Lytechinus pictus: one gene and its partners. The protein of the gene in region 1 purifies or fractionates together with the protein of each later gene. This does not show direct contact. Links are inferred from orthologs where the notes say so. Each region holds a gene or a part of one and is shown in the gene's direction. Other genes may lie near its edges.

What was found. The genes of interacting proteins can lie anywhere in the genome.
Region 2: the proteins of splicing factor 3A subunit 3-like (region 1) and PHD finger-like domain-containing protein 5A purify together in Homo sapiens (affinity purification with mass spectrometry; 3 studies listed by BioGRID and IntAct, with this or other methods). This does not show direct contact. The link is inferred for Lytechinus pictus from reciprocal best matches to the Homo sapiens genes SF3A3 and PHF5A.
Region 3: the proteins of splicing factor 3A subunit 3-like (region 1) and splicing factor 45-like purify together in Homo sapiens (affinity purification with mass spectrometry; 4 studies listed by BioGRID and IntAct, counting the BioPlex papers as one, with this or other methods). This does not show direct contact. The link is inferred for Lytechinus pictus from reciprocal best matches to the Homo sapiens genes SF3A3 and RBM17.

Annotation. Positions count from the first base shown.
Region 1 is NC_087248.1:31,929,063-31,937,338, reverse strand, and holds the start of splicing factor 3A subunit 3-like, read left to right. Parts: upstream 1-5,234; coding exon 5,235-5,291; intron 5,292-5,593; coding exon 5,594-5,676; intron 5,677-6,052; coding exon 6,053-6,191; intron 6,192-6,641; coding exon 6,642-6,710; intron 6,711-7,797; coding exon 7,798-7,982; intron 7,983-8,276. UniProt on the Homo sapiens protein: Component of the 17S U2 SnRNP complex of the spliceosome, a large ribonucleoprotein complex that removes introns from transcribed pre-mRNAs.
Region 2 is NC_087254.1:7,084,296-7,091,625, reverse strand, and holds the start of PHD finger-like domain-containing protein 5A, read left to right. Parts: upstream 1-3,892; 5' UTR 3,893-3,943; coding exon 3,944-3,995; intron 3,996-7,330.
Region 3 is NC_087247.1:38,896,149-38,903,963, reverse strand, and holds the start of splicing factor 45-like, read left to right. Parts: upstream 1-4,377; 5' UTR 4,378-4,474; coding exon of another isoform or gene 4,475-4,527; 5' UTR 4,528-5,009; exon of another isoform or gene 5,010-5,013; intron 5,014-7,522; exon of another isoform or gene 7,523-7,606; intron 7,607-7,815. Other genes in the region: ribonuclease P protein subunit p14-like, read right to left, coding at 478-556, 3,171-3,332, 4,475-4,527. UniProt on the Homo sapiens protein: Splice factor that binds to the single-stranded 3'AG at the exon/intron border and promotes its utilization in the second catalytic step. Involved in the regulation of alternative splicing and the utilization of cryptic splice sites.

The DNA of each region.
Region 1 (8,276 bases):
TGTTCTTCTTTGTAGTCATTGGATGGATAGGGCCTACTATATAAATAGCCACTCTGAGAAATGGAATATCTATTACGGGCATTTTGCCAAGTGGCACTTTGGGAACTCTTCCCTTTGGTACTGTCCGCTGACAAATGTCACAAGAGCGACAGAAACGAGTAACATCGGCATGAATGCCGGGCCAGATGAAACAAGTTAAAATCTTCTCAGTGGTTTTGCCTATGCCTTGATGCCCACTCATTATTCCTTCATGAGCAAGTGACAACACAACTTTCCTAAAGAGCTGAGGGACTACCAATTGATTCACATAATTACCTCTCTCATTCTTAGGTTGAAACATTCTGTACAACAGTCCATCATCTACTACGAAATAAGTGTTCTTCCTATCATCATCTGACAAACTAACTTGAGCGAGTTCTCTCGCTTTCTTCAAACTAGGATCCTTTGCACTTTCTCTTCTAATTTCTTCAGGAGAAACGTCTGGGATCTGAGATGGAACTTTCAAGGGCCGCTGGGGGCGTCGAGCTTCTCGACTCTGAGACCTTGTCTGTACAGCCAGGCCTACATTAGTACCATCATCACAATTAACTTCAACTCTCTCATCTTCAGAATTAGAGTTACCATTGGAATCTACATTCCTAACATGACCTTGAGTACTATCATCACCGTTAACTACTTTTTTCCAATCTGGATGGGGATTACTCATGGAATGGACACCTTCAATGTCCCCTATTATAACGTCAAAAACTGGTGTCTCTATACACAGTGCTTCTATTGTACCTACAAACAAAGGGGAGCTAATATGAACATTAGCAGTAGGAAACCTACAGAGAGTGATCTATCAAAACACATTGTCTATATTTACCAGTAAGTTGATCTGACCTCACAAGACTTTTCTTAACCGCAACACCGGAACATCCTGAATCATAAAGGACATCAACCTTGTGTGATCCAAACCTACCTTCAACAACAGTTAACTTACCATGCCAACGACGCTGACATGCAGCACACATCATCAGTGATTTTTGTAAGGTATCTCTAGTAACTATCTCTGACTTATCTTTCTCACTAACTAAAGACATTAACAAAAGTCCAAGTGTCTCACTTCCTTCCATATCTGGACTAACAAGCGAACAAGTTGCACAAGAATCTGACCTACTATCAACTGCCACTTTACTATTTGTTTCATACTGAGTTGATTCTCTTTTCTGATTTTGGCTACTACTTTTTGAATGATCAGTACTACAAATTAGACTTGCACCTTGTAATTTGGAGTTACATTTAGCTGCTAAATGCCCCATCTTGTTACAGATGAAACATGGACCAATTCTTTTCCGTTCAGGAGGCGGATTTCTTAAAATCCCCGGACTTGTCTTAACTTCACTTGGGACCTTTCGCAATCCTCACGGACGCTAATATTAGGGTCCCCTAACACAAAAGTTAACGCTTAATAATACACTTGATTTTTAAGATTGATTGTGCATTATAGTCAATAGAATCAAACGTAGAAAACTGCTCTACAATCAATGCCAAGCTTTGTGTTACAGGGGGGTTACAGGCCCTACAGATCTGCTTTTCGTGTGCAAAATCCTTTTCCGCGACACCCGCACCATACATGTACATGCATGTATATTACGACTAATGGCTGGAGATATTCGAAATGCAGACCTAAAATAGATTATGACATGGATAAGAAAATGGTTTTTCAAACAAATCGAGTACATATTGAGTGAGGAAAAACTTACTGAATGAAGGCTTAGATATAGATCATTACAGTCCATCGAATCGATATTAGATTTAATGTGGATTATTGGTGTATCACTGGCAATTGATTTCATGGGTCAGATCAACCTCTCCAGTCTCCAGCCGAACATTTCGCGTGAGTTGATATGTGCACACCATATGCAATACGTTTGAACTCGATCGTTTCTTTTTGTTTCTTTTGTTTCTTTTGTTTACTCCTTCTACACAAACGATATGCCTCTCGCACACGATGTAATGGGCATTATGTTTTACTTCCCCCAGAAATGGGGGATTAGATTCAAATTCCGGGGGGACCACTTCCATTGATGAGTGGATACCAGGCACGACCATGGGGTTTCGAAAAGTACCCTAAACAAGCTGGGAAGTAATTCTTTTCCAGATTATGAAAATGCATCTCTGAACAAGAATTTGGCTTGTGAAACCCTACAAGTATTGGGTATATATCCCTTTTTTGTCAGCATTTTAAACATCGTTTTGACACCCTTATAACGTTACATAGGCCTATACGTAACGTACCTGCCCACTCTGTCCCCTTTTACGCGTGGTCGCTCCTGGTATCCACTAATCAATGGGAGTGGGCCCCCGGGCGGCCTCTCGAGCTCTAGGAGGAGTCAAATGTGGCTTTGGAAAGTCGTCCTCAATCGGATATATCGCTGTTACCATAGTAGCAACCAAAATTTTGCACACGAAACGCATATTGAATGTTTCCGTCGCAGATGCGAAACGAAAAAAAAATCTCATGTCACACAATTTGCATTGTAGTACAGAGTTTTACACCCATGATGACGGGCCCAAAAAGTCTCTTCCAAAATCAACTAACGTCGTAAATAAGCGTGCGCGTCCTCAAACGAAAGGTCGGGACTGTCTGACTGAGGGTACCTACTACCTTGTGGCTTACCCTTCTTATCATTCTTATCTTTTCTGGTAATTCCAAAGTGACCACTATGGGCCTCTACATACGTGTCTGCTAGACTAGTCATCTCTGAAATATTCTTAGGTTTCCTTTCCTTCAGAAAAAGACCTAGAGAGGTTCCACCTCTCTCAACCAGTTGTTGTTTGAGTAACATTTCTACTACACCATCGAATGTACGTTGCGTACCTGACAGATCAATCCAACGACTCAAATAATGTTCTAACCGAACAACAAATTGACTTGGGGTCTCCCCGGACTGTGGATTGGAATACCTGAACTTTTGACGAAAATCGTCACAAGTAAGTTCAAACCTTAACAACAATGCTTCCTTGAGGGCATCATAATCTTCAGCTTTATCTGCTGGAAGTCTTGAATACACATCGAGTGCCTTACCTTGCAAGAGTGCACTTAAACTAATGGCCCAACTACTTCTTGGCCATGACTGAACCTCCGCATACTTCTCAAACCTTTTGAGATATGCGTCCATATTATCTTTTCCTTCAACAAAATGAGGGAGTTTAGGGGTTGGTGCCAAAGTGCGACCGTTTCCATTACCATTATCAATCATACTATCAGACCTACTCTGGCTCTGAACACGAGCCAATTCAAGTTTCATCTCCAGAATTTTTTCTTCCTCTTTCCTAACTTCTCTATTAGCCCTACGTTCCTCTCGCTCTAATTGTTCCCTTTCTCCTACAAATGAAAGAAGCTCAGGCCCTGACAGACCTAATTCCTTACCAATCTCAAACCACTTAGTACTCATGTTTAAATGTTCAAACTACCCCTACCTAAGTCAAAGAACTATTGAGTAACTATATACTATATCAACTATTTCTTATAGGGGTGTTTGATAACTTGTGTGGCACAATTTTCATACATATTCAATTTTGCAACTCACCGACAATCCAAAATAAACCTTTACTCGCACTTGACCTTGCTGCGCATGCTCGTCGCTAGCAGGAGTGTTGGTGCACTGGATGGTCCTTGGCCCACTGACACAAAGAACTTGAAGGATTTCGGCTAAATTCTGAAAATTGAACAGAAATTTGTTCATAAGTACGTATCACAAATTTTGCGAGGGGTCATGTCATCGACCAATTAAATCTTATGTCTGTTGACCAATAAAGACAAACAGAAAATCCTAGACAATCAAATCCTATACCAATTAATTCAACCAACAGGGTATGTTATGGCCCAAACAACTCGGACAAGCCCCCAAATTGTCACATTGTGTTTGATGTGAACTTGACTTATTATTCTAATCAGGCTGTTTGACCACCCAAGAATTAAACTATAAGATGAAATTGTACATTTCGATCAAAATGAATTTATTATATATATCAATATTGCCATTATCGAGGCTCACAAGCTGTCAAAACATAAAGATCAAGAAAACAGTATCAACAACGTTTTGGAACAATCTGTCTCAATTCAAATTAGTATAATCTAGACAAATTAAGTTAGTATTGTGACCTGCAATTCCTATTCAAGGAAAGAGCATAAACTCTGTGTTTATGAAAACAATCTATATAGTATACGTATACCGACTGTGGGGAAAGTTCAGTTTCTCAAGTCTTCACTCATCACCCGTTGTCAGACGTCAAATGCATCAATGTCCAAATTGATCATGCGATGCTGAAGAAATGTGCCGAACGGAAGACGATATGGGGATGAACTCGCGAATGCGATGAACTAACCAAGAACTCGGGACTTTCCGTAGAGAACGTAGCAATCGTAGAACGTCGTAAGACGTCGAAGAGGCCGTGAACGTCACAAGACGTAGGACGTAGCTAAACATTGCCAAACGAGGAGAACCATGGCAATACATGGAAACGTGGAGACACGTGGTAAAACGTCAAGAGACGTGGATAAATCATCGAGAAAACGGCCGTCTGGAAGAGAATACGCAAGGATTAACAGCCTACAGTTCATATCATTTCTGTTATTCAAATGGTTTATAATAGAATAAATGCTGAGTACATTCAAGCAGGTCAATGAACTTTCTATACTTGCTTCCGAGTACCTAATAGCAGTGTCCTTACTCATATAAAAGTCACCACTCTCGTAGTTAACAAGTGTTTAAACAGAAGCTTCGACATTTGTATAAATAGACTAATTGTCTTGATAAAGGACAAAATACCTTTCAAGTTTTAAATATTAGATAATTAGGTCACTTCCTAAAACAATCATTTCATGACATGTGTTAGACATATAAATATAATATCTGATATCTTACATGTAGATGTATGTCTCATATCTTAGTCTTCAAATAGCATAATTATCCTTCATCATGTTTAATTGTAATACAAATCAACATCACGGGTTCTAAATATAATCATAGCTTTTCATAATAATATGGTAAAATAAAACATCAACTTACAGTCTGGACCTTGAATTCCAACCAGTGTACCAACCACTGCTGGCTTACATGCCACTCCAAATATCAAAGGCGTGGCACCAAAGTGCTGGCTTTCCCAGCCAAGGAGCTGCTGAAAGATGCTGCTGCACCCTATGCTTGCTTATCTGCAGTCTGCTGAACATTTGCTTGCATAGCCCTATGCAGTGCACACACACAATAGCTATCAAACACAGTGAGGGGTTGCCTACTCTAGCAGTTAGGTTTGGTCTATTCATAAACAAATTAGGGAGTTACTCAACCAAATAGGCTCTTCCACTGGCTAGTAAAGGGGAGTTTGAATAAGCTTCTGACAGGTTCATGTTGATGAATTCCCTTTTTTGTGGGAAATTCAACCTTTGCTGGAATTTGCTTATATTTAGCCATCATGATTACTTTTTTTTTTGGTAGCACAAAGTTGGCAACTCTGTAAATAAACATATCAATTCAAATCCAATCCCAAATATTATGTGAAATGTAATTTCATATTGAACTGTTTTCTCTTTCTTTCAATCCTATAGAAAGTCGACTATGTGACCTACCTTTCCATTGCTGATCGGCTCTTTGAAATATCAAAGGATAAGAAGAATGCGGAATATAGACGGTAAGTCTATTCCTGTTGTGGTAACAATCATTCAATGAATTCTAGAGAATCCAACTAAATGAAGAAGAAATACATTTTTTTCTCATTCATCCATGCTCTCTTACTCATTATCCTTCTGTCTCTCCCTTTCTTTTTCTTTCTCTCCCTTTCTTTTTCTTTCTCTATCCTATGGTAAAAAACCCAGCTTGATTTAGGTAATGATTCTCCATTGTCCATGTGATCATTATCAATATCCAGGGATTCCTGCCAGTTTCCACCCCTCCCCTCCCCCCTCTCTCTCTTTCTCTTATTTATCTGTATTATGATATAAGAAGGCCCATATTTCCATGCTGATTACCAACATTCTAACTATATCTTTCTTTATGTCCTATCCTAGGTATCTGGACCTAATACTAAGTTATCTGCAGGACTATGCGTCAAGGGTCAAACCAATCTTGGACTTTGCAGAGGAACTAGATAAGGTCAAGAAAGAGTTTGATATTCAGTGGGAAGCAGGTACTTTCCCTGGCTGGCCGGTGAGTCATCTCATGTGCTGTGGTGTTTTAGAAAGAGTTGGGTGTGGTTGAAAGTCATTTCAATATCCTCTTGGTTGTCGTATACAACCAAGTTCATAGGAAACATAATTTTCCAGTCCTCCCTCAAAGAAGTGGAGTACAAGAAATGCAGTGAAAATCTTGAGTACCAGTATGAAAGCAATATCCACTATGATACAAGACAGGAAGATCTGCTAATCATACATGTTTGCAGTGTTTAGTGTGTGTTTTTCATGCTTTATCTTCATTCAGCTTTGCCTGTAAAATGGAAACTGACTTTTTTTCTGAGATTTTTACCATTGCTTTATCATACATTTTATATGTCTCACCAAACAACAAGAAATCTATGTATTAGAAAATTGGGGCCTGTATTATAGATGTCCTTGAAGTCCAAATTAGTCTTGTGTGTTTATTTTCATTTGTTATATGCAGAAAGAAGCAGCGAGTGCTATGACCCATGCTGGTGCTCATCTTGACCTGTCTGCCTTCTCATCATCAGAGGTAATCTACACCTAGATTGGCTTCCTCTCAGATAGTCTACATGGGCTGAACATAACTTTATCTTACTACCTAATAACAGTTTGGTTCAACCATCATTTGGCTTACTTCCTAGATAGTCTATTACAACATAGGCTAAACCCATTATATCTACTACCAATTTAACTGCCATTTGGTCTACACTGCACTTGATCCAATACCTATTTCATCTAATCCTCATTTAGTCCATTTCTGGTGGGTTTATAAATTTCCACTTATTCTACTTATATTTTACTTTTTTCAAACTGAAAATTTGGTTCATAGACTGGTCATCTAACCCTATATAGGCTAAGTGTTATTAGACTAAGTGGATAAAGAACAAAGTGGATATAGCCTAACTGAAAATAAGACAATGCAGTAATTGGGCTTGCATTGTAATTAGCCAAATTTATTAGTACTTGAACTAGTTGAAGACAAAGCTGGTCTAGACAAATTGGTGATTTACTGTGAGTTTTCTAAGGAAAGGGGAAATCCCTGGGGTAAGTCTTTTAAATGAAAGGAGAGAGTAAAGGGAAGCATTTTTTCCCTGAAAATTTCCTTTAGAATCGGTGACAAAATGAAAAACCTGTGAAATTTGAAGACTCGATTTACTTCCTCTGGCAATCCTCAAAATGGCAAAGTTGGAAATGGCCTGTTGCCAGAGCAACGGCTCTTTCACCCAAGAAAAGTTGCTTTATAATGACAGTACAAATCTCAATATGTTTTGTACTCAAATTTTATAGTTTCTCCTGTTCTCCTTTACTGTATATCTAAAGATTCTGCTTGTACTTTTGGTGAACTCAACTTATATTGTGTCAAATACATTTACCCATGACATAAGTGGTGCTAAAAAGGAGACCAACTACACCTTAATTAAGGGAAATTTTGTGAAGGAAAATATGGAAAGTTGTACTACTAAACCTGTTACTTTAAAGCAATATTGCCTAGCTGAGGATCACCATAGAAAGCATATTGAGTACAAAATATGTGGAGAGTTGTACTATTTAACCTGTCACGTGATGGGATAAGCAAATTTGAGACTTACATTGAACTTTTACTCTTTCACGTACAGGAGTTGGCCTCGCTTGGTCTTGATCGTCTGAAGTCAGCCCTGATGGCGCTTGGGCTGAAATGTGGTGGGACCCTGGAACAACGAGCCCAGCGTCTCTTCACTACCAAGGGGGTCCAGCTTAATGAACTAGACCAGGCCTTGTTTGCTAAGAGTAAACCAGGCAAAGGAACTAAAGCTGGCAAGAAGTAAGTGTCCATTGATAACCTATGTAGCTTGCCTACTGCTACTTATTACCCAAATATAGAAATCATAACTAATAAAGAGCATTATAAACCTCTCTTTAAGAATGTCAAATAATCTTTTCCTCTTTTCTTTAAGAATGTCAAATAATCTTTTCCTCTGATTGGTCAAAAGTGGGGTCATATATTTGACCATGCCTGCAAAACAACAGACAAATGTGGTTACCAAGGGCAACGAGCATAGTTAACAAGATTTGTGCCTGTTGCCCCCTGATTGCCCCCATTAGCATTGGGCATAAA
Region 2 (7,330 bases), on another chromosome or scaffold:
TACTTATGCTTAAAATCTGTGACAATGCTACCTTCCTAATGAGAATAGAAGAAAATTCAATATTTAATCATAATGACATCTTAACAGTCGTTCGATCGGCCTTGATATGAAACCAATTTGGCCTCAACTCCAAAGTAATGGCTTGCAATCATCCAAAATTGTTATTATATTAGTATTCTACATTTACTTTGAACCTAAAGAAAGTATATACCTATTTATCATTCACTTATTGAGAAAATAAACAAAAATGCAATTTGTTCCAAAATTGGATCATAGACCAGTCATAAGGTGTTCGGAGACCTTTAGAGAGATTAGTTTAACCAACAGATGAGAAAAAAAATATGTATTTAAATATTTTTTCACATCCAATACATTAAAAGATATGCATGGAAGTCGAAGTACACTACAAATACTGCATGTAGACTCCTTTTTCCTATTTTGTTTTTCTATTCTTTTCAGTTCCTGCCCTTTTTTCTTCAGGTGAAGAATGGTCATTGGCTCAGGCTAGTGGTTCTTTGAATCTATGTATTGCTCTTTTTTAAGCAGGAGTTAGATTTAGTTATTGTGCATGCATCCAGCACCTAGTTTACTTAGTATTCTATTATCCTTGAAAAATAATTGTAATTCCATTTCTTGTACATGTGCAATTCATCAATTTTGAGTGTTACCACCTGAGTATACTAGATTCGTAGAAGTTACTATCAAGTGTATCTAAGCCTGTCATCTAGTTGCATGTTGTTTTAATATGCTACTTTCTGTATTTATGTATTGTTATGCCATGTAGGTCTTTAATTGATTGGAGAGTGGCATCCTGTGTTATGTGTAGAATATGAGTCGTGAAAGGGGGACAGCTAATGTTTAATTATCAAAGCATGACAAAAAGCATGATTATTATTGCATATTCCATATTTGTTCACCATCGTAATCACAGGTGTTTTGTTTTTGTCAGCCCTTGTGCAGAGGGAAGGGGGATATTGTGTCATGAGATAACATGGCACAAACCTCTTATGTTATGAATGTAGTATTATGGTAAGTGTTTGCCCCCCCCCCCCCCTCTTTCATGATGGGGTTCAGGAACCATGTATGTGGTGTATCGTATCAAGGTCATGTATCTAAATTTGATTTGTTAATATCATAAATTAACTTCTTCATATAATGTAGTAATTTGTTTGAGGTCAATATAACTTGTATCCTCAAGATGGGGGTTTTGTGTGTGTTATCTATAGAACCTAAAAAAATTGCCTTTAACTTTTTTTGAGATGTTTCAAAGGACCAGATTTGAGCAAGGCCGTACATAATTTATTTTTTTTCCCTGGTGGGACACGACGCATAAAGAATTATGGGATTGTAGGTGACCAAGCTTATCATTTGGGCATGTTTACATCTTCTAAAGTGATATTGAAGGATTTTGTGTGCACTTATAGATCATTTTGTGGAAATTCCCGGTAAAAAAAATGTAAGTTTTCAAAATTTCTGGGGGCAATTGCCCCCTATGCTGCATACAGCCTTGGTCATGACTAAGTTTCTGAATATTTCTATTAATAAACAAGTTTCTCCTTATCTGCTAACTTAAAATATGAATGTAGAGGTTAACAACTCAAAGCAGAGTGGGAACGGGTCTCGGTATCTGTATGAGTAAAAGCACAGAGGTGCCCATTCCAAAATTTAGGACGCCTCTATAGTATCAAACGAATAAATTCAAGGGACTCTACATAAACAATAGAGGTACATTGAAAGTGTTTTGTATTTTGAAAGCATGGAAAAGTTAGTCTGATGCTTTTATTTGCTTTGTTAAAAATCTTGATGTTCCTTTGAGCTTATGAAGAGATGGTGTAGTGGTCCACCTGCACTCCCCCCCAATCAGTTATATCAGGAGAGACCTGCGGGTCATAGTGATTCAGTTCACTTTTCGCCTCCCAGGCACAGGTGACGCCAAACAAATAATAATAATACACTGTGGATATGTTTCATAAAGCTGTTCGTGAGTTAAGAGTAACTTTAAGAGCGACTGATGATCCTTTCTTACGCGCTAAATAATCACCAATGAACATTTAATGGTGAATATCATTTACCACAAGAAAGGATCACCAGTCGTTCTTAAAGTCACTCTTAACTTATGAACAGCTTTGTGAAACGGCCCCCAGTATACTGTCATTTGGGGTGTTCAAACATTCTGTTGCAAAATTCGTTTTTGAGGCCAGCACAGAAAAGGCTGTATTATGGAAATATTACAAGGGTAGCAACCATCACATGTCTGAATTTCTGAAAACTGTCTCCCAATCCCTATAGAGAACTCTTTCTAGGCATAAAAGTTTGCCACTGTATCTATGCTGAAACGCTAAAATCAATCCTTCTTGAGCTGTCCTCAAAATGTTTGAATTTCAAAATCCTGGCGATGATGATGATGTTTTTTATTCAAAGAGAAGGAAATGTTAAATATTTATAAAAGAAGATACTTAAATCATGTTTGTAATCAAGTAGTAAGGACATTAGCTATTATATTTTTATATTATTTACTCTTAAAGGGATGAATGTTTTCTTCCCATGTTCTTGTATATGCTGTCATTTACCTTTTGAGAAGATCCATAGTATATGTAGGTAGTACAATGTAAATGTATTGTAAATGTATTTGATCTTGTACATATTGATCATATAAAATAAACATATAATTATCACAACACTATAAGATGGTATGATTTTTATTGTAAGTGTAGCCTTGATAGCATAAAAAGCCCCGATGGGACAAAGTAATCACATTGAGGGAATGGGATTGATCTTTTATATGCGATAATGTGAATGTGTGCTTGTGGATGTCCAATATTCATCATGCGATATATTTTAATTGATATATGAACCATCTTCATTTTATGCATAATGACCTCAATTTCAGATTATAAATAGTGACCTTTAGATTTTGAAAAAAAAAATGAAAAGAATGAGGGAAGCACAATATGAAAAAAAAGAAACACTAGAAAAGAAACACTAAATCAGGAATTAGAAAGATATAAGAAAAAAAATGAAAATGAAAAAGATATTAAAAATAAAAAATAAAAAGATTAAAAAAAAGGATTATCCCTCTACATTAATTCTATTTCTTTCTTTTTCCATTCAAACTCTCACCCTCTCTTTGCTTTCACCATTTCTCCTTTTTTTTAACTCTTATCCAGCTTTTTTTTTCTTTCTTTCGTCCATCCGTCCATCCTTCCTTTCTTTCATTTACACCTGCATTTATTAATTATGTCTTCAAATGTCATTTTTATTTGTTATTTGTTGAACTGTATTTTAATGTTCGTGTTCTTTTTAGCACCAGCTAATGAGGAGAGTCTTTAATCAGAAACTTGATGTCTTTTGATAATCCCCAGGCATTAGCTGGTGTTCTTTCCCTTTTTTTTTTTCACACTGATATTGTATGTTGGATATTGTATGATTATTTTCAATATACTGAAATTGACTATTGTTATGAGTATAATGCCATGTGTACCTGAAAATGGAATAAAATACATGAAATAGATAAAAGGGGTGTTATTTGTGATAGCCACCCAAAGTGAAAAATACATATATATTAGGGTTAGGATTTTATCTTTTATCTTTTTACTTGCACTATAGTTTAGTTTTGTTCAACTGCACCAAATGTCATGTGTTTTTGTGATTGCGGCCTCAGCCAAGTACGACTATACCATACTCTGTAAAGAGGACTGTACTCAACGGAAGAAGAAGGGTTAGAATAGCTGTTGCATAAGGAATTCTTTCCAATAAAAGTTTTCAATACCATATAGGTAAATGATTAAAATGAAATAGATATAAAATAAATAAATCAGAACGAGTGGAAGTTAATGCTTGCCAAATAAACTGAAAGGGAAAAAAGAAGAGGAAAAGAAAGTTCTTCCAAAAAGGAGTGCTAGCGCCATCTGCGGCGATTATCATATAGTCAACATTTGGAAACATGGCGAAGCATCATCCAGATTTAATTTTTTGTCGCAAACAGCCTGGTGTTGGTAAGTTAACCATCGATAATTTGAATTTTCAAGGGATGGGTGACTTCTTCAATTTTCAAAGTAGTAAATAAAAAGCAACAGATCTACCAGATTTATCAAATATGCAACATTAACCATCGAAACCGAAACGTTTAATCATCGTTCAAATGACTTCAGTCCGATCCCTTTATTTTGGATGTGTGTTTAATAAACAGTTTACGGCGGCGGCGTGGGGGCAGCGCGCAGCGCTAGGTTCAGTCCTTTCAGTTTCAGCTTTCGTGTCCCAGTCTAAAAATAAAGCGGTGTGGACTATGGTATGATTGCTATCCAGGTGCGGGTCCATAGGAAGGGGGCCGAGGTGAAGAAGCCTTGTCCCCCCCCAAAAAAAAAAAAAGCTAGGCTAGATCTAGCTCTAGGCTAAAACGGAGAGGGGAAAAAAAGGGGGGAATAGAGAAAAACAAGAGAAATGAAGAAAGGAAAGAAAAGAAAAGGACGGGGGGGGGGGGAAGAAAGGAAGAAACGAGAAACAAAGTATGAGATGAAAGGGAGGAGAATGAGAGAGAAAGAAGGAATTAGAAGAAAGCAGTGGAAGGGGAAAAAGAAAAAGATAACAATGACACATGAAATAAAGATGTTGTGTTTTTAATCCTCTCTTTCGCTATTGTTTTTGTATTGTAGTTCACACAATTTGCCCTGTCTAAAAACTCTAAGCTTGCTGGAAATTCCTTGAAAGATTTGGTCTCAAAATGATTTTAACCCAAAATTGTGAATGGTTAGCCTCAGAGACATTGAGAAAATGATCATCAAATCTGAACTTTCTTAAAAATGAATTAAAAAGAAGTTTGTATTTAAAGACAAAGTTCACCCTGATAATCTTGATGACAAGTTGGTTTTAATAAAGAAAAAACAATTGAGAAGGTTTGATGATTTTTTTTCATAGTAGGATATCCCAATCATGTAATATGATTCCATAAATTTCAGTTTTGTTTTGGAATATGATGAATAATTTTTGGGGGTTGCAGAATTAGAAAGGTTATAAAATGTGTCTTCCTGTCTGGTGATATATCTGCCACACAACTAAAATCAATTAAACTTTTTTTAGATAATCGAAATAGCATTTATGTGAAATTATATCATACGACATATAAACGAGCTGCTCATTTGTGATTTTACTAAGTCAAAACTTTAAAAATTCAATTCTCGGGTTTTCCTTAGTCAGATTTTCATCAAACTTTCACTTATACAGGGCTCGACACTAGCGCCGGTCCGACGGTCCCAGACCGGTAAAAATCGCTGTCGGGCTAGTAGATTTTCAGAAATAGGAAGATTTACTGGTCCGACATGACCAGTAAAAAATATCATTGTCGGGCCAGTAATTTTTCCAAAAATAGCAAGATTTAAGGGTCCGACATGACCAGTAATAAAAACCATTGTTGGGCCAATAACTTTTCCAGAAATGGTCAAATTCACTGCAAACCATTTCCCCCCGTAAAATTATGTCATTCACACACAGAATACACACAGAATGAATCGCACGTAAGTGTTACTAAAGTAGCATACAGTGTACATGTAGCCAGCCACACAACCCACGTGGTAAATTCTCTACTGGCTGCGCGAAGGAAGCTTGGCTAAACTCTGGCAGAAATCTCTCACAGAACTGTCAAAATTCACGATTCATACTCATGAAAGGCTCTTATAATGTCCATATTTCCTAAAAATTGGAGTAACTCTGTAATTTGTAAGCAGTAAAAGGAGAAATTTTCACTTCTGTTTTGGTTCAAACAGATCGGGTTTCGGGTGATATCGTCTGAATACATAATAGCCCCACATATGCATTTATGTGTGTGTTGATACACTTGGTTTCTTTCGTAGCTATTTTAATTGAGCCAAAAGAAACTGATAAATTATTTGATAGTTTTAGCTTTCTTCCTCTGTTTTCTTCCTATCTTTCTTTCCTTCTTTCTTTTTAAGCTTTTTTTGTTTCTTCCCTCTCTTCTTTCATTTTTTTTGTTACTGTCTTTTTTTAATTTCCCCTTTTTTCCTTTAATTTGTTCTTACATTCTTTCTATCCTTTCAAAAAATATTTTTCTCTATTTCTCTTTTTTTTCTCTCTCTCTTTCTTTCTTTCTTTCTTTTTTTGGGTGATATTTTCCTTTCTTTAATTCTTGAGTCCATCCATCCTATATTCATCTCTTCTCTTCTTCCTTTCGTTCCTTCCTTCTTTTTACCCTTTTCTTTCCTTCATTCTTTGTTACTTTCTTTGTTTCTTTCTTCCTTCCATCCATCCATCATTTATTTACCCTTTCTTGTTTTTTTTATTTCTTCCTTCTTTCAGCCCTCTCTCTCTTACATTCATTCCTTCCTTCTATCTGTCTTGTTCTTTCCTTTTTCCCTTTGTTAAATCTGTCCTTTTACCTTTTCTTTTTTGACTGCTTGCTTCCTTTCTCTCCTTTATTCTTTCATTCCTTCCTTTCTTTGTCTCTCAGTCTTTCTTTTTTTCTCCCTTTCATCTTTTCTTTTACCTTTTATTTTCTTATATTGCTTGCTTCTTTCCTTCCCTTCCTTCCTTTATTTCTTTCCTTCTGTCTATCATTTTACCTTTCCTTTATTTCTTCCTTAATTCCTTTTTCCCTTCTTTCAATCCTTCCTTCCTCTCTTTCTTTCTTTTGTCCTTCTTTCCATCTCTCTTTTTACCCTTTCTTTTTTATTGCTTCTTTCTTTCCTTTACTACTTTCTGGATTTGTTCTTTCTTTCTGTATTGCTTGCTTCATTTCTTTCCTTCATTTCTTTTTTATTTTCTTTCTTTCTTTCTTTCTTATTTTTGTTCCTTCTTTATTCCTTCCTTCCTTTCCTTCTTTAGTTCTTTCTTTTTTTCCCTTCCTTCACATCTATCCTTTCTTTACCCTTTTTTTTTTCTTCCTTCCTTCTTTCCTTCCTTCCTTCCTTTCTTTTATTCTTTCTTTTTCTTTTTCGTTCTTTCTTTCTTTCTTTCTTTCTTTCTTTCTTTCTGTCTTGCTTTCTTTTTGTCATTCATTCCTTCATTTTATTTGGGGGGGGGGTAACAAAAGGCTAGAAAAATAAACTTGCGCCTTTTTTTTTTAATGTTTCCTTTATTTTTTGGGACCAGTAGATTTTAGGTTCGGACCAGTAAAAATTTGAAAAACTGGGTATGTACTGGTCCGACATGAATAGGTTGGACCAGTAGAAAAAATGGGTTAGTGGGGAGCCCTGACTTATAGTTTTCTCTAATGTTTCTTCTTTTATTGAAACTCATAATTCAACATCCCTTTTAAGGAATGATACCAGTTGAGAATTTTTCACTGTTTATGCTGCCAATCTGCAATTGTAACAGCAAA
Region 3 (7,815 bases), on another chromosome or scaffold:
AAGTTTGTGGACCCTAAGTGACCTTTGACCTTAATCATGTGACCTGAAACTCAGACAGGATCTTCAGTGATACACTATTACTCTTATGTCTAAGTTTTCTGAACTAGGTCCATATACCTTCAAAGTTATGACATTTCAAAATTTAACCTTGGACCTTAATATTTTGAAATTGATTCCTCCGACATGGTCTAAGTTCATTGACCCTAAATGACCTTTGACCTTGGTCATGTGACCTGAAACTCAGGCAGGATATTCAGTCATATTTGATTACCCTTATGTCCAAGTTTCATGAACTAGATCCATATACTTACTAAGTTATGATGACATTTCAAAAACTTGGTTAAGATTTCAATGTTGACGACGCCGCCGCCGTCGGAAAAGCGGCGCCTATAGTCTCGCTCTGCTATGCAGGCGAGACAATAAAAACATGTATATATGTAACCTAAGAGTACAAAGGCAACTGTGCAGATGACTCACCTTTCGTGCAATGAAAGCACATCTCTGGTCTTCAAAACATCCATAAAGTGTCAAGGCACTCCAGAGCTTGACCAAATCACTGAATAAAAATAAATCATGTTAAGTTAATGTACTGCATAGCTACATGCGTATCCTTTGAATGTTTGATTTGATTTTAACGAAAATAGAAAGCAGAGGAAAGCTTCACAGAACAAAATTATTCCTAGAATTATTGGTACCAAAACCTTGAAAATGAAAATATACTAGTATGTAGGTCCTTTATAGAAGACCAGACCCATACTCCTTTCCAGAATAATTCATGATGGGTGTTAAATGCAGCCTTTCTGTGCCACCGTATAGGAAAATAAGAAACATGTGAATACAATCAGTTCACTTTAAAAACTTTCAAACATTAAGATAATTATGACATTTACAATAAAAGACATTGAATGACAGTGATACAAATTAATTCAGAAAAAAATTGATTCATTTATGGTTATTGCATTTTGTATACAATTTGTTTAACATGCTGTATGTTTATTGTTTTTTAAAAGATGTCATGTGTGTTTTGGGAATTTGAAGATGATTTCATTTTCATAGTAGTACTGTGAACCCGGGGGGCCACTTACATTGACGAGTGGATACCATGCGCGACCAAAAAAACACGTAAAAAGGATGTCCTTTTCACGATAGGGCACGTTACGTACGTAACGTGATAAGGTTGTCAAAAACACAAAAATAATGAAAAAAGGGTGTCTATTTCGCTAGGAAAATTACGTGTTTAGGGTCGAATTTGCGGGAATGATAAAACAAAATTAAAATGTTTTATAAAGGATGTCCATTTTGACCCAACACTTCGTGTTTAGAGTCCGATTTGCGCGAGGTGTAGAAGGTGGGGTCGTACTAAACCAAAATAAGGTAAAGCCGACGACCGAAGGACTCGTAACAATAAAACATTCCTGTATTTATTTAGGGGTTCATTTCAGGGAATATTTGCCAAGAGTATCGTTTTTGTTTCCAATACTTGTTAGGGTAGGGTTTCACACGCCAATACTTGTCAAGGGGTGCATTTTCAGAATATGGAAATTACGTGTTTAGGGTGCTTTTCGAGACCCCATGGTCGCGCATGGTATCCACTCGTGAATGGAAGTGGCCCCCCCCCCCCCCGGGACTGTGAACCATTGACAATGTAATAAACCATTAAATAAACAGACAAAAACGTAGTGAAGATGGAATATATGATTATAGGAATGGTTAATAAACAAACTTCAGTTTGAGTTGCAGTATATACATGTACTTCCTTTTAGGGGCAGGAATGGGGTACTTAAAATAAATGAAAACTATTGATACATATACAGTATTTTATAATAACATACCAATTAGTTTTATAAGTGAATGGGAACTTCTTGGAAATCCCAGGTAAAGTTAATAGAATTAAATAAAGTATGTGCCAGCACTACACCTCCAATGCACTTGGTACATGTTTGTATATTGGTGTAAGGTGCATGAGGATGATTTATCATCTTATTAATATTATGATGTCAAAGCTTAAAGATAAATTCCAGTTCTGGTGACGATCTCAAAATGACTTTTTACAGAATCTAATATAATGACCACCTAAGTGTCTGTTTGTATGAATAAAAAATATGTGCCAAAGGATTCTGGAAGAAATTGTGTAATTGCTATGAAATTAGCAAAATAAGCGCGGATTCTGTCACTTCCGTCGGGTCTTTATTCCAGCAATAATAATACACTGTCCCACGTGTGCCTATCTGTGTTGGCGATCTTCAGTGTGATCGTATTTCAGCTTAGATTTTATGATTTCACAAAGTTCAGTTTATGTAACTGTACCAGATCTAGATCCACGGTGATATAGTCATACTTAACCTTGGTTTTACAGACTTTCTCACGAAATTAGTGTTTTACTGCAACTACTATCATTTAGCTTTAAAGACAAAACTTTCTGAGCATGATGAATTTTTATTATTAAAATAAACTCAAATTCATGACGAGATATTTATAACTAAAAAACCCAGAATCCACACAAAGTTAATGTAGATACTTTGATTAGATTTAATACAAAATGGCATTTTGGAATATGAACTCCCCAGCAGACATTCAAATATATAATTTTCCTCATACAAATTTCTGTTTGTGAATGTGAATCAGTGTTCTAGCTAGACCCATCTTAGTGGTGGTCGCTATTTCACAGCATTACAAAGTTTTTTTCAGGCTGAGTTAGCAGTCTTATTTAAAGCCAAAAGTGAAGGAACATCAATGTAATAACAATCTTAAATTAACAACTCTTTGAAAATATAGGCCTACTAATATCACATGTAAGAATAAATAATGTAAATTATGCAAAAATAACAAGATTAAAGATGGATATGAACAGGTGTGCAATTATTTCATTTGAAATCAGTGGTGGATGGGAGCAGTGTTTTTTGTGAGTGGTGGTCAGATTTTTTCTGGGCTGGTTGAGCCAGACCACTGACGTCCACTGTCACTATCCAAATTGACCTCTACATGACACATTCCAGATATGCATGCACATAGTTTGGGATTAGTGGACGACTGAATGTGTTGAATTCTACCAGTGCAACTTGGCCAGGTTGAATTGTTTTGGGGGGGGGGGGTAGTTGGGGAGGGGGATAGGGATATTCTTGGACATTTCTTGGTTTCTCTAAGAAAATGGTAAATAATTAGATACACACCTCTGACGAACTTTAAGGATTCCCTGAATATTTTCAGGATCGTACATCAAAAGATCTACCAGAATTGCCACTCCAACGTCACCATGAAGTTGCTTTAATGCCAAACTCACAATTACCTCAAACATCCTCTCCTCGATAACTGGTGGTGAGCTTTCAAACTCTCTGTCGATGAAAAAGTAAGAAACAAATTAAAACCCCAACATATTCTGCTATCATAATATTTGTTCATATGCAATTCAATAACAATGAATAGAAATGTAAAATATACAGCATAGCCCTGGGAAGTTGGGTGCTGAAGCACCCACATTTTTCCAGGGGGGGGGGGCTGCAGCTATTTACCATATGCAGAACCCCATGGAATTCAGGCTGACAAGCAAGCAAAAATTTTTTTTTAAATAACCCCTTTAGTTTGGTTTTCAACTTTTTTTTTCTAAAGACACCCCCTGAACCCCCCCCCCCCCCGGCCCAGTACAGCAGTGTCAGCACTAGACCAAAAGCTTCAGTCTCTGTATTTTGGTTGTTCCGCTGAACTACGTTGGCTCCATGGGGATTACAGTAAAATGTCAGAAATTGTTGAATAAATCCCCAGAAACGACGGTTATTCCTGTCTATGTCAGCACCCGCTATTTAAAAATCAGGGCCCTGATGTATTGTAGGCCAATAGAGAAAGCATTGGATAAAATCCCCTAGCTTTATTTAGAAATTTTTATCTATTTTTGCACTACAACTGCAGACAGCTCATTTTCACATTCCACATTTGGTGGCAGCAGTGGGATACAGTACATGGGAGAAAAACGGCCCAGCCTCATGAGACACGTCAACACACAATAGGATTACTCATGGGATAAAGGCTCATAAAAAGGATGTGATAATGCTAAAATTTGTTGAGCATGAAGCACAGGCCTAATGGAAATAATTCTCTTCCACATCAAATCAAAGTATTGACTTTTGAGTAATGATTGGATTTTAATTTTTAAGTAACAAAGACTTTAAAATTGACGTCAGCTTCATTTTCAGGCAGCTGATCTGAACACATGATTTTGACATGCGTGTCGACGTCTTTCACTGAAAGACTGAAAGTTTGTCAAAATGAAAGGGTATTGATACTAACTTGAAGAAAAAATGAGAAAATATTGGTCATCAAAAGATAGAAGCAGAGAAATGAAGACGCTAAAGTTCAGTTCTACGTTAGTACATAGTGTAGACTTAAATTAAATAACGTGCCGTTACTCGTTACTTGGCCTACTCAGAATCTCTCAATATGTCCCCTCCACTTGAAATGAAATAATATCTCGTCTACTCACAATTTGACACTCAAATAAATGTATGCATTACAATCCATGATTTGAATCACCATTAACTCAGATCTTTCTAACGAAAGTCAGCTAGCTCGTGACTTTAAATAGCTTAGCCTTTGGCATTGCAGTGCCAGTGCCTAGCGCCTGCATGTCACAGTCGTCACAGCTAGACGGTCGAGCCGATATATATTGGCTGCTGGGCCTGGGAGCTGGAGAGAGCTAGCGAGATCGAGAGCTAGCTCTACATTCCGTCGTGTCTGATCTGCTGCTTCCCCTATAAAGGCTATATAATGATATTGTTCTTCATAATTTAAAAATGAATTTTACCTGAATAATATCAAAATATTTTGTTTTATATTTCAAAATGTAATAAGATGCAAAAATAAATGTAAAATTCTGGAACCCAAAATTCTGTTTTTTTTGAAGTTTTGTTTGAATAATTAAGGACACATCACAAAAAATTGGATCTCAGTCCAGGCGGCGCTAGCGGCGAGCACGAACGAGTTGCTCGAAAGCGTCTTCAAGATCAACCAAATTACCGGTATGTATGCTTTACATCCAATTATATTTTAATATTTATGTCAAACCTCAGTTATCTAGGTGTGTGAATATGTATAGAACGTTAAAGAAAGACATTTACTTTGCCTAAAGATACCGGTACGCTACGCCCAAGGGCCAAGTTTAATAGAACTAAACTTTCATATGCCGACTCCAATTGAGTGCGCTCGTCAGTGTAAACATATAGCGTTTCATAACAAGATTGCAGTAAGAGTAAATGGCAAGTCATAAAGAGTAGACGGCGCGGTGATGGGAAATGAACTGGAGAGCCAGAGGCGGCCCACTCACACTAGTACGAGGTTAGTATAACGTTAGAGGTCACAAAATTTATTTTTACTAAGCGTTAAGCCTGAGTCACTCATATCGATTATTTTGAAAACCGGTGTTCGACAGCTTTAATTCGATCAAACATCTGTAGTGACTTGACTATATCTTTTTATATATCTACATCTATGTATTCTTTCCTTGTATGGCAGTGAGTCCAAACTTCGCGTGTGTCCATACTTCGCGGACGGTCATTATCTAAAAAACTAGCCAATATTCTTAAAATCTGACATCATCAACGTGAAAAGCGACCTAAAATTACCCTTTGGTGTAAGTTTCTTTAGGATGAGTTCAGTATTCATGAAAATATTGGCAAAAGATCGGCAAATTTGTCACTGTTGGCGCCCGTTTTGAAGAAATCTGATATTTTCAACAAGCATCACGATATCACCATTTTGCAAGCAGAAATTATCAAAAATGTGAGTTAAATGTGGTACTAACCGATTCTATAGCATTTTGCCATCAATCTGATATAAATATTTCATTTTTTGAGCTTGAGTTTTTGTTTAAATGTCCACAAAAACTTTGCTCCGCGAAGTTAGGTCACACTTTTCTGAACGGTTTTCCAGCACAGCGCGCATTCGCCGATCAGAATAGAATTTTGAGATCGCGATACCGGCGAATCCCCTTGACCTACTTTACATTTTCGTCCATGATTTTGCAGTTTACGATCTTGCCGTAAATGTGGTAACTATTTCTTGAATTGGTTTTGTATAAATTATGAATATTTTGTGAACAAATTTAAGCCTGATAAATATTTTTGAAAAGTGCGCGAAGTTTGGACACCCCATCATATATATTTTCATTTATATTTCAACATTCTGTATATGTATATAAATTCTTTCTTTTATTTCAAATTTCATATATTCTCACTTGTTCACGCCATGTGTATGTACTACAATACTGTACATTCACAGAGCAAGACCATTTCCTGCCCAAATCTACTTCCTGAACTGCATTCTTCATCTCACATCTTTCTACGAGATGATGCTGTTACAAAGCCATTGCAACCTCCATACAGAGGACCCTTCCGAGTCATCCGTCGCACTGACAAGTATTTTACCATCGATTATAATGGTAAACATGAAAATGTCAGTGTCGACAGACTGAAACCGGCTTTCATCGAGCAGGAGGCTACCGCTCCTTCATTTCATCATCAAGATCCACCTGACCAAGTTCATCAACAATCCAACTCCACGGACTTGGCAGGGGATCCTGATGACAAGCATATGCCTCCCGAAATTCGTAAGACCCGTTCTGGTCGCCATGTCAGGTTTCCTGCCAAGTACGTTCAATTTTTCGGAGACGGTTGAAACATTTCTCAAAATTCACGGATGTTTCCACTCCTTTATTTTCTTGTTTTATATAGCCAAGTTCCCTTTTACTTTCCCTTGTCGATTTGTTACTACATTTCTATTCGGTACAAATCTAGGGGGGAGCTACTGTAGTGACTTGACTATATCTTTTTATATATCTACATCTATGTATTCTTTCCTTGTATATATTTTCATTTATATTTCAACATTCTGTATATGTATATAAATTCTTTCTTTTATTTCAAATTTCATATATTCTCACTTGTTCACGCCATGTGTATGTACTACAATACTGTACATTCACAGAGCAAGACCATTTCCTGCCCAAATCTACTTGGCAAACACATTCTTATATTGAGAAACAACCTTTCTTTTGTTCCTAGACTTGTAGCAAACATCCTTTCATTGTTCCTTGTTTATTACAATGAACTTGCAGGTATACAACATCACTACAAGATGCTTGCATGTTTGCTTTTCTCACAGTCTGCTTCTCTCTTCTTTGTTCTTTTCAACTTTGTTTTGCCTCCCTTTTTGACGCTTATTTCTTTGTCTCATCTTTTCTGATGTTGGTAAAAACAACTTGTTTTCTCTACCACATCATCACTCTACTCTCTGCCTTCGTCCTGTCCACTCATGCTGACCATCTCATCCAGCTGCTAGTGAGGATTGAATCAAATCTTGTGGAGGATCAACTTATACTTAATTATTTCTCTGCATTTTCCAATCTTATTTCTTACCGTCACTTCCACTCCTTCGAAGTCTATATTCTCTGCATATTTAATGAGCTCATTACTTCGCGAGACATTTTGTGACATCTGTCCCTTTTTCTACTCTATTTGAAATTGTGAAGTGTATATATTTCTATTCACGGATTTGTGCAATTTATCTGAGATTCTGAGCGGCTGGATCCCATTCTATCTTCTGGCGAGCAAGAATTAAGGTAGGACCTAACTTTTATATAAATATTAGGAGATCGGCTTTGCCAATTTCCTAAACATCGATGCATCGAATTTTGAAGGCATGGCGGGGAAAATCAAGTCTATTTTTTTGCTCTGCCTCTGGCATGTCTGGCCGGCTGTCGCATCGATGCGCACTGTATGCACTGACGGTATTAGACCAAAAGCTTCGGTCTCTGTTATGTTGGTTGTT